2 linked regions of the Styela clava genome follow. The protein of the gene in region 1 interacts with the protein of each later gene in a pairwise test. Links are inferred from orthologs where the notes say so. Each region holds a gene or a part of one and is shown in the gene's direction. Other genes may lie near its edges. The genes, in order: COP9 signalosome complex subunit 5-like and histone deacetylase 11-like.

The links.
Region 2: the proteins of COP9 signalosome complex subunit 5-like (region 1) and histone deacetylase 11-like interact in a two-hybrid assay, tested with the Caenorhabditis elegans proteins (2 studies listed by BioGRID). The link is inferred for Styela clava from reciprocal best matches to the Caenorhabditis elegans genes csn-5 and hda-11.

The regions. Positions count from the first base shown.
Region 1 is NC_135257.1:21,457,227-21,465,059, reverse strand, and holds the start of COP9 signalosome complex subunit 5-like, read left to right. Parts: upstream 1-4,486; 5' UTR 4,487-4,601; coding exon 4,602-4,639; intron 4,640-6,398; coding exon 6,399-6,483; intron 6,484-7,244; coding exon 7,245-7,412; intron 7,413-7,833. Other genes in the region: transmembrane protein 65-like, read left to right, coding at 779-884, 1,725-1,811. UniProt on the Caenorhabditis elegans protein: Probable protease subunit of the COP9 signalosome complex (CSN), a complex involved in various cellular and developmental processes.
Region 2 is NC_135252.1:6,045,591-6,053,746, reverse strand, and holds histone deacetylase 11-like, read left to right. Parts: upstream 1-5,076; 5' UTR 5,077-5,538; coding exon 5,539-6,630; 3' UTR 6,631-7,761; downstream 7,762-8,156.

The DNA.
Region 1 (7,833 bases):
ATTGTCCAAAACTCTGCTAAGAGATGGGTCCTCTGTATTTCTGTGTGTGAGTGTATGTAGCGAAAAATTTTTAAAAACATGGTTCCATATTATTGTGACCAATATCACAAGACAAACTAATAAATCTCAATATCTTATCAAGTATTATTGACAATATAATATTGAACATATACTCTCTAAAACCTCTGCACAGAATTCTTCTGGTTCCAAGATTTGTATTAACATATATTGGATCAAACCAAGCTTGTTTTCCTGTGAAAATTCGCTCAAATTATTTTCACAAGTCTTGACAAAAATGGTGAGTAACACCATATGCAATGTGATATGCATTCAGTAGCATATCTAGGGCAGTCATGGCTTGTGCCACAGGTTTTTAGTTACCCCCGTAGTGTGTGAACTAGGTTAGGGTCAGGCAATAATTGTATAACGATTTTCCTTGTTTTAGTTCTATTACGAGTTGAGGGAATATCTGTGTTAGCCAAATGAATATACCCCCTGCTCATAGGTTTCAGTCCCTTTACACAACTTGACATAAAGTAGGCGAACTAAATTAATTACCTCCATATTGGTGCATACACTTCTGAAGCGCAGATTTTTATGCTCCATTGGTTACTTGCAACCCTCCCTCTATCAGTAATTTTTCAAATATTGCTGGAACGGTCGACCTCTTGCACTGAGCCAACCTGTATGAATAATGTGGCCTCTGCACAGGTTTATTATTGTGCGAGAAATATTAGTTAATACAGGGATAAACACGAAGCTTTTCTCTTTACTCTAGATTGGCTGGATATGTTGAAAGCCTCTTCTATAAACTTGGGTTGCCAGTACCTGCCTTAACACCGGAACAAGCAGAGCAGAATTCAACTATTTTTTCATCTAATGCGGTAAGTTTCTGTTTTTTTAGAATTAGTGTGAGTGGGTTCCGGATTTAAACATTTCACCCACCTGGGGCTGGGCATTTTTGAATACCTGAGGATTTCAGAATCACATAAATTTTTCAAAATGGAAAATGGAAATATTCGACTGTATGTGACTTTTTATTGTGATGGGCACATAATTTACTGAAAACTTTCATAGTTTCAGACAGTTTTAGAAACATGTTTCATTAATAACTCACTAAAGATAAAGGAGTCGGTAAAAGAGTAAAAATATGGCTTCAATAAAAAAAATTGAGGAATTCACCTCGACCTGTGTTGGTTTAAAAACAAGATGACGGCAATTTGAAATTCTTGCCTGGAGCAGTTGTTTTTAGAGCATTTTATAAATTTAATGATAGCAACTTCATCAAGATCAAATCTAAGGTTCTCTTCGCTACTATAACTATCAGTAGAAGTTACACAAGACTAACTTCCGACTAACCGACTCTTCCTCAACGCCCCTGCCCTAGTGGATCCCTATGCGTATATTGCAAGGATGCTGTAGCAGGAATAAACATGGCCATGCTATGCAATTCAAGAGTCCAGCTGCACATAAACACAAACGTATTTCTGTAACGTTTCGTTTGACCAAAATCAGACTTCTTCAGACAAGCAGTTTACACAGACGAAACCTTACAGAAATACATTCATGTTTGTGTGCAACAGGAATCTTGAATTGCTTGGTCTCTTCACTGGTATTGTTATTTATTTTAGTGACTGGGAAAAGTAAACCTGACTTCGACTTTACTATTTGGCCCTTTGGAATTGTTTTACTACATTATTACATAATAAGTTCTTCAATTTCAGGGCAAAGCATTTGGAATTTTGATCGGTTGTATAGTTGGAATGTTCCCACTGTTATTCATCGCTAAAGAAGAAAAGGAAGATGGATGACATCTTGAATAATTTTTCGAGTTTTATCAAAGCATTTGGCTTGAAATACAGTTACTTTTGAGCTGCTTGACTCGCGCCATTATTATTTTATTTGTTTCAGTAGCTCAGACCATTTCAGTCTGTAGAACTGTATGGTGATACAGACAAGCAATAAAAAGGCCTAATAATATTTAACATTATATCTGTATTGCATTCTATTGACTGGGATAAGTTTATGCTTTCTCATGCTTTAAATTTTTAACTTTTCGAGCTGCTTCTCCATTGCACCTGAGAAAGTATATTTAAATCTTTTTTTCTGTAATTGCCATATTTCTTCATTTAGAAATATTTTTGTTGTTTCCTTATTTTAACCAACATTTTTTTTTTTAAATCTTGTGTTAGTTTTTCAGTCATATAGTGTTCCTTTAGTTTTAAATGTATTCAGCTTTATTGCGATTTTCAGATATTTACATATTTATCCCGACTTATACATATTTAACCGACCAGCGGGTATGTGAACCACCCTACGGCGACGAGGAGTCTAGCAATCCTTTTGCACATAACCATCATCGCTTGGGATTCGAACATGCGGACCCACGCAGAGAAATCAGATCAAATGCTTAGCACAAGGAGCCACACTGCCGAGCCTGATTATACCGCTGGACGATAAATCGAAAAAAATATGCCTGAGATTCTAAATCAGTGTTTCACAAACTTTTTTTTATAAATTCCTCTCAAATTTTGGATCGATATATTCTCCCTCACAATGCTGAGGAACTCCATTTTCGTTCTATTCTAGAAATCTGTATTTGTAACTTTACTTTGAATCATATGTTGCTGCTGTTTTTAGTTGGTATTTTCTGTTGAATTTTGTTCATTTTATATATTTGAATAGTTAACAATATATATACATGTTGAATTTTTATAAGCTAGTGCTGTATTTTGTGAAAGTATGTACAAAGGTATGTACACAGTGTTATGAATAGCAAAGAAGGCGGCCTCGTTTGGGGCCTTGGGGGTGTTTTACGCATGTGCTCCAAACAAAGCTTGTAGACAGGCAGGTAATGAGCAAATAGACTAGGTTCTTTTCATGTAGTTTGGGTAACAATCCAACCTAATTTAAAGTCATTTTACCTTGGTGTTTCAGAATAGCAATATAACAAGAACGATTATGTAGGCGAGCACATTCTAAAAATTGAGCCAAAACATGTTGCTGCAGGGACGAGCACGGAAATATAGTACAGCAATATGAAAACTGATGGTTCGCATATACGATCTTCCTCACTAAATGTGTGTTTGTTTTTCTCAAAATGTAACGGCTTCATATAAATTTTACAAGAGAGATATGCTCAAATATACAGACACGTAGCGCCACATAATTTTGATGACGTCATGGCAAAAAATAAAAGTAATAGCCTTTTGGGGAAAATTCCATTTTCAACCACTGAAAATTTCAGAGCAATTGGTCCAGTAATCAAATAGAAAAGCGATTTCTCCGAAACGATACAAAGAACAACAATAACAAAACGATCGTTATGTCCATTTCGTGTCCAATAATTACAGAGACGAATGCAATGTAAATAAAAACCGCATGGTACGCTGTCACATGCAAACTTGAAGAAACGTAATTTTTCTCTCCGTTCTAGTTGCACGGCAAGTATATGGATAGGTCAGATATGTGACTTGATACGATTACGTACCAATGAAATTCGATCCGTGGCAGATTAGCCCAAGAGAAAGAGATATATTGCGACAAAAACGAAGTCAACACTATTATTATAAACAAAATACAATGTAGAAAATATTTCAGCAGTAATAACAGTGATTGATTCAAACCATCAAGTCCATGCTTCCGAAAACAAACAAGAGAGCTATGCTCAAATATATGGACACGTAGCGCCACCCAATGGCAATAACTTTGATGACGTCATAGCGAAAAAGTAATAGCCTTCTGGAGAAAAATTTTATCTTCAACAACTGAAAATTTCAAAGCAGTTGGTCCAGTATTCGAAGAGAAAAGCGACTTTTTGAAAACGTGTCAAAGAACAAGAACAACAACAACAACATAATATTGAAACGATCGTTATGTCCACTACGTGTCCAATAACTGGCCAACTAATCCCTTACCCGACCTGGAATGGTAACCGGACGAGAGGCCGTGGTTCGCCATATGATTAAGCCGTCTTATCGGCTTTCCTCTCCCCTGGGATAAATATGTAAATCCTATCATATTGTTTTGCGTGGGCCCAATTAAAGTGATCTGGGCTCCCGACCATTGTGATTTGTGTATGTATGCCCATATGCCTTGGACGAATTACCAGTTGAACCGTTTGAAGACGAGTTTGTCAAACGATTGGGCTTTTTTTTTGCCAAATTATGTTTCATTGCCAATGTGGAATTTTTCTATTGGGCTCTCTGGCCGGCGCTATCCTCTTTGGAGGTAAATTATTATAAAAATTAAATGTAAGGATGCGGGGTCAGTAATTTTAATATGACCTATGATCTTTGAACTCTTTGGCCTGTGAAATACATGTCACATAATCAGATGATACCATGTAAATATTAATCATATTTCATGTACACAAAGAATAAATTTCATTTTTGAAATAAAAATCATCTTACAACTTAAATACTTCATTATTGAAAACGTGGAAAAAAAGATTATTGATATTGTTATTCTTTATCAAACCTCGCACAACCAGCCCTTCTTTATTGTATCTGGCAACAGCAAAACCTCTGCATTTGGTAATCTTGTACTGGATCGACGAAGTCGTGTTTGCAAACGTAATTTGTATAAGTAATTCGACCACAATGTCGGACGAAAAACCTGGAACGTCATCAGAAGGGGGGTACGATTGCTTCTATTATCTTATTTATAAATGGATCTTCATTTTACATGCTTACTTGTGGAAATAACTGTAAAAGATGACTAATATTAGGTCTCTTTTGCGATGTGTTTTACCCGTTTTTCGTCCCATGTTGCATTTCGTCTTTGATTTTGCGTTCCAGATTGCTAAAATTTTCCATGATACGTATTGTGCTAAGCTTTGACTTGCAAGGAGAGATATTTTGACTTCAAAAATAGCAGAATAAGTCTTTGGTCATTAAGTTGTCATTACTCTGACGTACTACGGTTCAATGGTCCTTAGTTAGGAAGCAACTGAGCGAATATCATCCTTGACAGTGTCGAATTGTTTTTTGTCAACTTCCTGACATCCTTGTCTCAAGATTAAGCCCATGTACTGATATAGGGTGTGTTATAAAAGTCTGGTATTTAATTAGGTAAAAGGACTTTGATGTGCTTCATACAACTAATAATGGTGGACATATAAGGGTTTATAAATGAAGTGAAAGGAGCTTAAGTAAACACCGATTAAAATAAAACAATTCTGGTTGAGATATATTAACAACTGACTCATACGATCATAAGAATTGTTATAATAGTACTTCACCATCACCATGTTTGTACAGTAGGGGACAGTTTTCGGGTCTCCTGAAGTACACACCGCAAGTACTTCTAGCTGGCATGGCTCAACAATTTTTGCATATGTCATTCTTAACCCCCACCTGACTAGGTCATCCGAAAATTACATTGCAGTGACGTAATACGGCTCGACAAAGTATACGAATGGTCGCGCAGACAATCATCCGAAATCGAGTTTGGCTATTTCTCTCGTTTTCTTATCAAAACGATACCAATAAGAGAGAGATCGCTGACGTTAGTGACTGTTAGTTCATTATAGTCGGCACAGATGCCATTTCGGACGATTGTAGCTACTTTAGCAAGCTCTATGACGTGATTGTGACGGCGCAGTGATGTAATTTTTGGGTGCCATACTCAGGTTGGGGTTAGGAATATTATACTAATAAAATCGTTATGCTACGCCCACTAGATGTACTTGAGGGCGCGTACTTTAGGAGACTCCAGTTTTCCGAATCCAAGATGTCCCGACATTAAGTTCAATAAAACAAACTCAATTGCCCTTGAAACGAGGGCGTCTGGCATGACGGCAGATGCGTCAGATCGTGTCATGCTTGTCTCAATAGTAATCTAAATCAATCATGATATGTGTGGTGTGTCGGCCGTCACATAGCCAAAATTCCCGTTTTCTGCTGGGAACTCTTGTATGCTGCGATAAAATTTGTTTCCTCTTGTAAATTGGATAATTTTATTTTCAAGGAATCCAATGATGTCGTTTTCAGATTGCGCTCTCTTTTTGTTGCACAGTGCTAATTTTTGCCAGTATGGAGGCCCTGACTGTCTCATAAATCAGGTGTTTGCAATCACTGTTATGATTTATGTTTTTTAAGTAGGGGCTATTCTTGGAATCAGTGAACTGTGCTAAATCAATATATATTTACACCAAGTTCATTCATTCAAAACTAATAATCTGGTTTACTATTCCCTTATCTGGCATAGACTGGTAGCATGTCAAGGGCCCATGTTCTGCCATATCATTAAAGCGTTCTTTCCGTCTTTCCTCCCCTGGAGATGAATTTGAAAACTTCATCTTTTAACATGTTAGTGGTGACTTGCAACTGTTCTATCGCTATTCTCCTGACTTTTAGCTCTGAACAAATTCGTTGATAAATAAATTCTTGTCCTAGAGCTGCATCTACAAAGACAGACCAGCCTTTAAATTCGGGTTCTGCGATGGCTTTGAAGACTTGGGAAATGCAAAACAATATGGAAGTGAGCGCTTTTTTTTAATTACTATTAGAATAGGATAGGGGTAGAAAAAGTATAACACGACTTAACTATATGGCGAACCACGGTACTTCACTAATGGCAAATTTGTTATGAGTTATTTTAAAAATATTTTGTTGAATTGGTTAGTGCAAACTGGTTTATTTCTTCAAAATCATTGTTTTGCCACCAACTTTTTAACAGCTGTGCTGAAAGTACTGTAAGCTAAATTTAAATGCTTGTTCTATATATTCTATCCCTGCAAAAACAAGCCAATGTTATTAATCAGTATTCAGTGACAAGATATCTAAGAGATTGTCTAAATTTCAGTTTTGATGTTGCTGTTGACATCTTGCGAATGAAGCAATGTTTTTTTTGATATATTTGAATACCTCCACTCTGGACGGGGTTCTGCACAAACAGTCGGTTATGTGTGAAAAACTACCATCATTTGGAACGACCGAAACCGTTCTCTGGCAGCTTTGTGTACCAATTTATTAACCCCCTGGGTGAGGTGATGGGCCGAGATTAAAGTTTAAAGATTTGGATTCCTGAATATGGACATTTACAATTTTCATATTTTTCTGTATTGAAATATTGCCTTCGCTCTATACAAACAGCCAGAGATATGTGAAGAGCTACCATTATTTGGAAGAGCCGAAATCTTTGTTTCAGCTTGAATCAAGATTTTAATCTGCGAAGCTGTTCTAACACTTTAACTATGCCACCAGAGCTGGCGACACTAACTAATTCAAAAACATTTTTAGATTGTTCACTCAGTCGACGAAATCTACAAATACGAGCTGAAACAGCAACAAGAAATGTTAAATGCAAAACCATGGACAAAGGATCCGCATTATTTTAAAACCAGTAAAATATCTGCACTGGCTTTACTGAAGATGGTCATGCATGCCAGGTCAGGCAAGAATTTGGAGGTAAGTCTACATTTGCTGTTCTTGTGGCTTCAATGACCAAGATGACAGGTTGAATTCAGATTTGGACACAGATTCTGGAGCAATGTTAAGTTAGACTATAAGTCATATGTGTATTCGACACGTTTAAATTCAAATATACGGTACTTAAGTTCATTGTATTACTGACAGGGAATTAATCTCAATTCATGCAAAATTATTACTTGGACAACAAACCATAGAGATACCAATAGGTATTGTAAAACACAAAAGTTATATCCCTTCTAAAGGACACTTCCATCCAAAGGCAAAGCCAAGAATTTTCACAGGGGGGGGGGGGGGGGTTATGAAAATTCATCATTGTCAAATTAAACCAGCTAGCGGGAAACGTGGGGTTCCAAGAGTCTTTTTTTTAAAAATGGGGGGTTTCGACCCTCAACCCCCC
Region 2 (8,156 bases), on another chromosome or scaffold:
TTTCCAGTAAATTTAGTTGAAATACCAAACCGATTTTAAATATGTCACATCTACATTTTTTAATAAAATTGAAAATATACGCTATGTTTGGAATTATATATGGCCAAGTCAAAACGTGCTGCTACTGTTATGGTATAGTGAAGTCGAATCTAAAAGGAATTTGCTTTTTTCCGAATGTGTCGTAGTGCTGCCTTTATTGGCGGTTTTCGAGAAATCGCCCTTTCAAAAACGATTATTTTTCGGAATTCAGAAAAGAACCCATTATAGAGAGCGTAAAATGTTTTTTTTTATATTTTAAACTTTCCCAATTAATTCTTAGTTTAATAAACGTACAGTATTCATTTGTGACAAAGAGAAAAATATATTTGATCAATTTTCCCGCAGCTCCAGTTGAAATACAAATCCCTATTAAATTTGTTACGTCGACAATGTTTATAAAACTGAGAATACACGCTATTTTGGTATTATATGTAGCCGAGTCAAAACATGCTGCCACTGTTTTGTTATAGTGAAATCAAATATATAGGGTATATACTTTTTTCCGAATGTGTCGTAGTGCTGCCTTTATTGGCGGTTTTCGAGAAATTCCCCTTCCAAAATCGATAATTTTTCGAAATTTTGAAAAGAATCCACGAAGAGGGCGTAAAATATTTTTTTGGTATTTTATACTTTTCTTCTGCAAATCATTCTAAGTTTAATAGACGTACAGTATTAATGTGTGACAAAGAGAAAAATATATATTTTATCAATTGTTCAGCAAATTTAGTTGATATACAATTCCTTTTTAAATTTGTTTCGTCCACATTGTTCATAACATTGAAGAGTATACGCTATGTTTGGTATTATATATGGCAAAGTCAAAACGTTCTGCTACCGTTCTGACATAATAAAATTGAATCTATAAGGTATGTGCTTTTCTCTGAATGTGTCGTGATGCTGCCTTTATTGGCGGTTTTTGAGAAATCACTAATCCAAAAACGATAATTTTCGAAATTCTCAACCTAATTCAAGGGGGTGCGCAAAATTTTTTTTATTATTACTTTATACTTTCTGAAACTTATTCTAACTTTAATAGACGTACAGTATTGATGTGCGACAAAGAGAAAAAGATATTTGATCAATTATCCTGCAACTTTAGTTGAAATACAAACCCTTTTTTAATATGTTACGTACCTTTGTTTTAAAAATCGAGGAATATACGCTATTTTTGGTATTATATATGGCCAAGTCAAAACGTGCTGCTACTGTTCTGGCATAATAAAATCGAATCTATAATGTATGTGCTTTTATCCGAATATGTCGTAGTGCTGCCTTTATTGGCGGTTTTCGAAAAATCGCCATTTTAAAAACGATAATTTTTTGTAATCCAGGACAGAATCCACCTGGAGTCGCAAATGATTTTTTGCTGTTTTATACTTCCCGCAACGTATTCCAAGTTTAAAAGATGTACAGTATTAATGTGTGACAAAAAGAAAATGATATTTTATCCATTATCTAGCAAATATAGTTGAAATACAAAATCAATTTTAAATTTGTTACGTCCATGCCGTTTTTAAAATTTAGATTACACGATATGTTTGGTAATATATATGGTCAAGCCAAAACGTACTGCTACTGTTCTGTTATAGAAAAATTGAATTAATATGGTATCTGCTTTTCTCCAAATGTGTCGTGGTGCTGCCTTTATTGGCGGTTTTCGAGGAATCGAGGTTCCGAAAAGGATAATTTTCCGAAACTTTGTATTTGCGGAATACCTGAAAATTCATTTTTCGCTTAGTTAGTCTTTTTTTGAACACTATTTTCTTGTTAAATTTAATGTATTCATTCAGTTTAAAAAATTTTCATCTATTTTCGTGACAATATTATATTTTGATCAGCATTTTCAATTTTCATATTTACCTATAAGTGAACACTATATGCGCGTGGAACCTATATTCAATGTGTAAAAATATTCTGGCTGAAAGTGCTGCTAGCTTCACAGTGGTAACGTAGATTGAGGGCAATAAACTATCGCGCTCTACTCTGAACAATCTTGAAATCTGCGGATTCCGACTCCGTGCACTTATTTTCGTCCAAGAAGCTGGACATTAGCCTGTACAACAGGCTGTTGAAGCGGGTGATCATTTTAAAAAGTGACATGAATGGGAGATAACGTCAACATCACCAATAATATATATGTTGGTATTTTACAAATTGGAAAATCCCTCCACGCAACAAATAATTTCAACATCCGTATTTTAAATAATTTTTTAAAACATTCTGGACCAGATTCAAATCTAAATATATCGGTCTACATTTAGTCGGTACCGAGAGAGAGAGAGAGAATTTATTATTTCGTCAACCAGAAAACACATAATATTAAATATAATAATAACATAATAAGTGAAACAAAAGTCTTCGGTATGACTGGGAGGTAACGATACGACCAGTTACGGTCATCTGAGTCAGTTACCACCCAATACAACACATGAATAAATACATAAATTGATACAGGTTCTTTTTTTTTAACTCTCAGTTTATAGAGAACTATTTACAAAACGAGGATAAATTTTGGATTCATCTAATCAGGGTTGGGAATTTATTGTGAAAAATGACACATTTATGATCAAATTTCCCCTCCATTTTATCAGATGAAATTATCAAGTAGTCTAAGTTAGTTTTAAGTATATACAAGAACCTGTGAAATGTATATCTCTAATCTAAGCATCGTTGTGAACCTTGCTTCGTTTTCATTGTTGTGCGTGAGTCAGTTTTCAAGTGCATTCTCAAAAACTAGTTTTAAATCAAATAACTTGATAGCCATTACTAAGGCACCAATATAGATTTTTCGATAGTACTTTTCTGCGGTGCCCCCTCTCCCTTGGAGCCCTAAGCACGTGCTTATATTTCCAAAAGGTTAATCCAGCCCTGCGTACCTAATCGCCCCAATTGCCATTCCCTGCTACTATAATTAATAGCCTCTGTCCGTGGCACTTAAGTGCCATAGTTAGGGATGGGCAATTCAGAATATCGAATCTGGAGGATTCGGATCCAATTAGGGGATCAGATAACTGAATTTGGTTTCCGCTTCTTTAAAAGCATTCGTCAATTTTTGTATTTCCGGTTTTATAATTTATTAATCAGAGATGAGCTTTTCGTCTTGCGTCAAAATTTCTCTCGTTTGATTAAAAGCGGTAGACGTCAAACACGGAAATCTTAGCGCTTCAGATCAAGAAGACTCCCATGAATGAACAAACGCCTCACGGCGAAGACTTGTTGTTGCACCATTTTCTCTTTCTCCAGCTTTACGACCTAGTTAGTGATTGATTTCAACAATCTAGCCCAATTTTGTATACCAATTTTTATTCATGTCATATGACCCACAAAATTTAATTTCTCACAGACGTACCATGCTCCGTTTTAGATTAAATGATTTTTCGCGGCCTACGAGTTCTACCGAGAACAATGATCTAAAGCAGGATTGTGCAACCTTCTTCGTAGACGGGCCAAATATCAATAACGGGGTAAAACCGCGGGCCGCACTTTCATTACAATAGGCTTTCTATTAGCTGTAGGCACATAATAGTGTCTATATGTTATTGATTCTAAATCGTCATTATTGGGGGTCCTTGCAGGAATGATGAGTTAAACTGTAGTTCAAATATATCGTTACATCCATTTTATACGAATTCGGTAAGAAATTTGCTGCTAGATTCTTTATCCAAATTTGCTTAAATGAAAGTGATACGAATTTGATATGGAGCCCGTTTTTGAACAAAAAGATGTAATCGAAAAGTGCCCTATTTGAAGCCATGACCTTTTTCAAATGTGGGAAGTTATCTTGGTTGAAATGTTTTCGGTAAAGTACGCCAAGATTCATTTCCGAATAATTTGCTGTCAAATTTTATTCTTGATTAGATTTGGACAAAATCAACTGATAGACTGGAACCAAACTCAATTTAGTTTTTGCATCTCTTGATATTAAAAATTTAAACTGCTTTCCAGTTTCCTGATCTTCGATTGCTCGTTCATACAAGTTCATTAGCGTCTGCTCCGCATTTCCTTTCAAGTTTTTCGCAGTTCAGCAAGTGGCAGCTTTGTGAATCGCGTTGCTGTTGAGACGTTGTAACGTCATAGGCACAGATAGCAAATTGGACTCGGATATTATCTTTGAAGCCCAACCAGATCAAAATAAAGTAAAAACTAATTTAGCCGCACACCATTGAAAATTCTCTACGGGCCGCACAATATTCCCTTGCGGGCCGCACCCCTGATCTGAAGTTTAGATCAGAGATTAGATTAGATTCTAAACCAAAAGCCAGACGTTAAATGTTATAACATTATTTGCGATTAATTTATATCAAATATTATTTACAATGATTTAATACATTTACGACAAGCCTCTTCCGAAAATACAAAGTTTCATCACAAACAAAATATTGGTCACATTTATTTTGCACTCCCAAATAATTACATCCTTCTCGGGAATCTGCGATTCGTTATCGGATGTTATTACATGTTAAGTACGAAATCACGATTACGGTAACTTTATTTTACGGGTCTTAATCTCACAGAATAAACACGCTGACCCATGCTTGATTATAATTGATAGTGGTTAAATCGTAAATATATACTACTACGATTAAATTCAATAGTTTGCACCCGTAATTGACGCGAAGACTAGGAAGGAAGGATAGGATTTACATATTTATCCCGGGGTAGAGGAAAGCCGATAAGACGGCTTATCCATATGGCGAACCACGGCCTCTCGTCCGGTTACCATTCCAAGTCGGGTATGGGATTAGTTTTTACTGTATTGTTTGTTTTCGGAAGCATGGACTTGGTGGTGGAGGAAGCCGTAACCGACCAGCGGTTACGTGAACCACCCAACGACGGCGAGGAGTCCAGCAATCCTCTCGCACATAACCATCCCTGCATGGGATTCTAACATGCGAACCCACGCAGAGTAATTAGAGGTGCGCTGGCGAGCGTATTCCTAACGCTTAGCCCGTTGAGCCACACCGCCGCGCGGTACCCGCTACGGCGCATAAGTTGCAGTTGTCTCGGACTGGCCGTGCATATACTGTGGTGAAGGTGCCGTGGTGGACAAAACATCACCACACATATATATCAAAACTCCCAATACAGTGCCTAATAATGCAGCAAAACTTTGTCTTCTCAATAACCGAGCGGTAATGCTGCCAGGAAAATTTTTAAGCAATTTAGGTCAAAAAAAAAATGTGATAACTTGTGACTAATTATAAAATTTTGTTTTTACATAAAAAAAAAATATTGCAGAAATTATCGAATTTCATTGGCCTGAGCCAATGATCGGAACATTTTCAATTACACGCGAAGACTGATACATTTACAATTTTTTTTTACATTTTATTCCACAGGAACATAATATCAAAACTATCTATATATACGTCCATTTCGTGATTCAGTATTCTGGATTTGATTTGAGTATTCTAAAATACCGTAATAAATTATTCAACATTTCCCACCCCTAGTCACAGTGCAGTAGTTGTTTTAATGCTTATAGCTGCATAGGATTATATGACTGTACGAAATATGGGGCAAGGACCTTTAAAACCCAGCAGGAATCAACATAAACCCAACAGTAGAAGCTTTGATAAGTCGAATGAAAGAATTCCAAGATTGTATCTAAATATTTCGGATCAAGCCTGGCCATTAGTCTACAGTTCTGGCTACAATGTAAGTTTTGGAGGCATGGAAAAGTTGCATCCATTTGATGCTGGCAAATGGGGAAGAGTTCATCAGATGCTGATAGATAAGAAAATGTTATTGCCTGGGGAATTTGTTGAGCCTTTAGAAGCGTCAGAAGAGGAATTGCAAAAAGTACACAGCCAGAAATACTTGAATAGTTTAAAATGGAGTGCGAATGTAGCAATGATCACGGAAGTTCCACCAGTTGCAATGCTGCCTAATTACTTTGTTCAACGCTCAGTTCTGCGACCATTTAGATTGCAAACGGGTGGCTCAATCTTGGCAGGGAAGTTGGCAATGGAGAGAGGATGGGCCATTAACATTGGTGGTGGATTTCATCACTGCTCTGCTGAGCGTGGAGGAGGATTTTGTGCTTATGCTGACATAACCTTAAACATTCGTTATTTGTGGGAAAACTTTCCAGACATAAACAAAGTCCTGATTGTCGACCTTGATGCTCACCAGGGAAATGGATATGCTCATGATTTCATGGGTGAAGAAAGAGTTTTCATTTTCGATGTGTATAATCGTTTAATATATCCGAATGATCAGCGTGCTAAATTAGCCATTTCTCGTCCGGTGGAATTGGTGCATGGAACGAGTGATTCAAAGTATCTGGAACTTGTGAGAAAAAACCTTTCTGAAGTCATTGAACTGTTCAATCCTGAATATATTGTGTACAATGCTGGAACAGACATTCTCAGCGGCGATCCACTTGGTTGTCTTGATATATCACCTAATGGCATTGTTGAAAGAGATCAAATAGTTTTTGAAGTGGCCCACAGAAACAAAATTCCAATTGTTATGTTCACGTCTGGTGGATACCAAAGATCAACTGCAGCAATAATAGCAGATTCAATTTTCAATCTCAATAGTCATGGATTTATAACTGGACCTAAAAATATTTTGCATTCTGAATAATGAATGTGATATCAGTTGCAGGAAGCTTTCTATACAGTGATTCTCATACTTCCTTTTGCAATCATTAACTCCATCCATGATCATAATATACATTTATAGTTGATACCTGAAATATCTCGAATGACCTCATATGAAAAAGCCTACTGTGTTTATTGACATATATTATTCATAAATTATATTATTCTTTTGTTTGTCACTTACATCATCTCAACTTTAATCCATAACTCAACTAACAAATGTCTTATGGAGCCCAAATTGCCTCATTGGATGTAGTGTTCAATTGAAAATGACAAAATTAATCTGATTTGAACTAAGTGGTCAGACTAATTTGACTCATATTTTACAATCATAATTCTTCTTGTGGTAAATCTTTAACAAACGAACTCGGTATCAAAATCGAAACCTTATTGGCGATTTTGCATTTTTCTCTGTTTGTTTCATGAAATTTAGATTAAATGCAATACCTACAGACTACAGTATTTATTCATTTCTCTAGTAAATGCTCTTTCCAAAAATTTTGGTTTTGTTGATTTTACATATTTTTGAGTTTATGGATTTGATTGATTGATTTGATTGATGAATTTGATTTGTGCTTATCGCATCTTTGAAAAATAGTTTTCAATATTAATTTTCATCACATGAATATACACATGACAATGATATGGTCATTTTCATATGCTTATCGAGGACAGCCATATGTTATATGCCTAAAAACATAGTTTATGATTAGAAATGTGCAGTCAGATTTGGATATTTGTATCAATTTCACTGTCAATGTGAAAGCATTTATCATTTGTCAATAGTATGCATAAATCTGCAATAAAAAAAAATAATAAGTGATAAGTTGTATTTGAGTTTATGTTGATGTAAATGCTAGTTTTATATTTCTTTTAGTTTTCAAAATTTCAATTGTTTCGCCAAAACCTTACTCTCCATTATTTTTCAAGCACTTGTTATTTTAAGTGCTTGTGGAATGGAATTGAAGTGTTCAACGTTGATACCCATTTTCCCTCTTACAATTTTATTTTTCATTTATTATATACTGTATAAAATGATTATTACAAAGTTTTACACATTTATGCACTAAATTTTTATCACTGTCACTTCATTTTATATTATTAATAATCATAGTATATCAGTATGGGCCAAGGTGCAAGTACTGAACTCAGGGAGGATGGCAGTTCTGACCTGCACAAAAATGATTTGTGGCCTATGGTTCATTGTCCGGAATATAATCTACGCTTCATGGGATTAGAAAAAATGGGCAAATTTGATTTATTGAAAGGAAATAATATTCGTCAGATACTTATTGCACAAAAAATTTTGACAGTTAATTCATTCTCCACTCCTGTTGAAATTACGGAAGCAGAGTTGAAAGAAGTTCATACCCAGGAATATATGGAGAGCTTGAAAAGATCCAAGACCATTGCAAAAATAACAGGAATATCTGGATTAGCAATTTTTCCATACTCTGTTATTGAAAAGTCAATAATGCGACCACTTCGAGTTCAAGCTAGTGGTTCAAT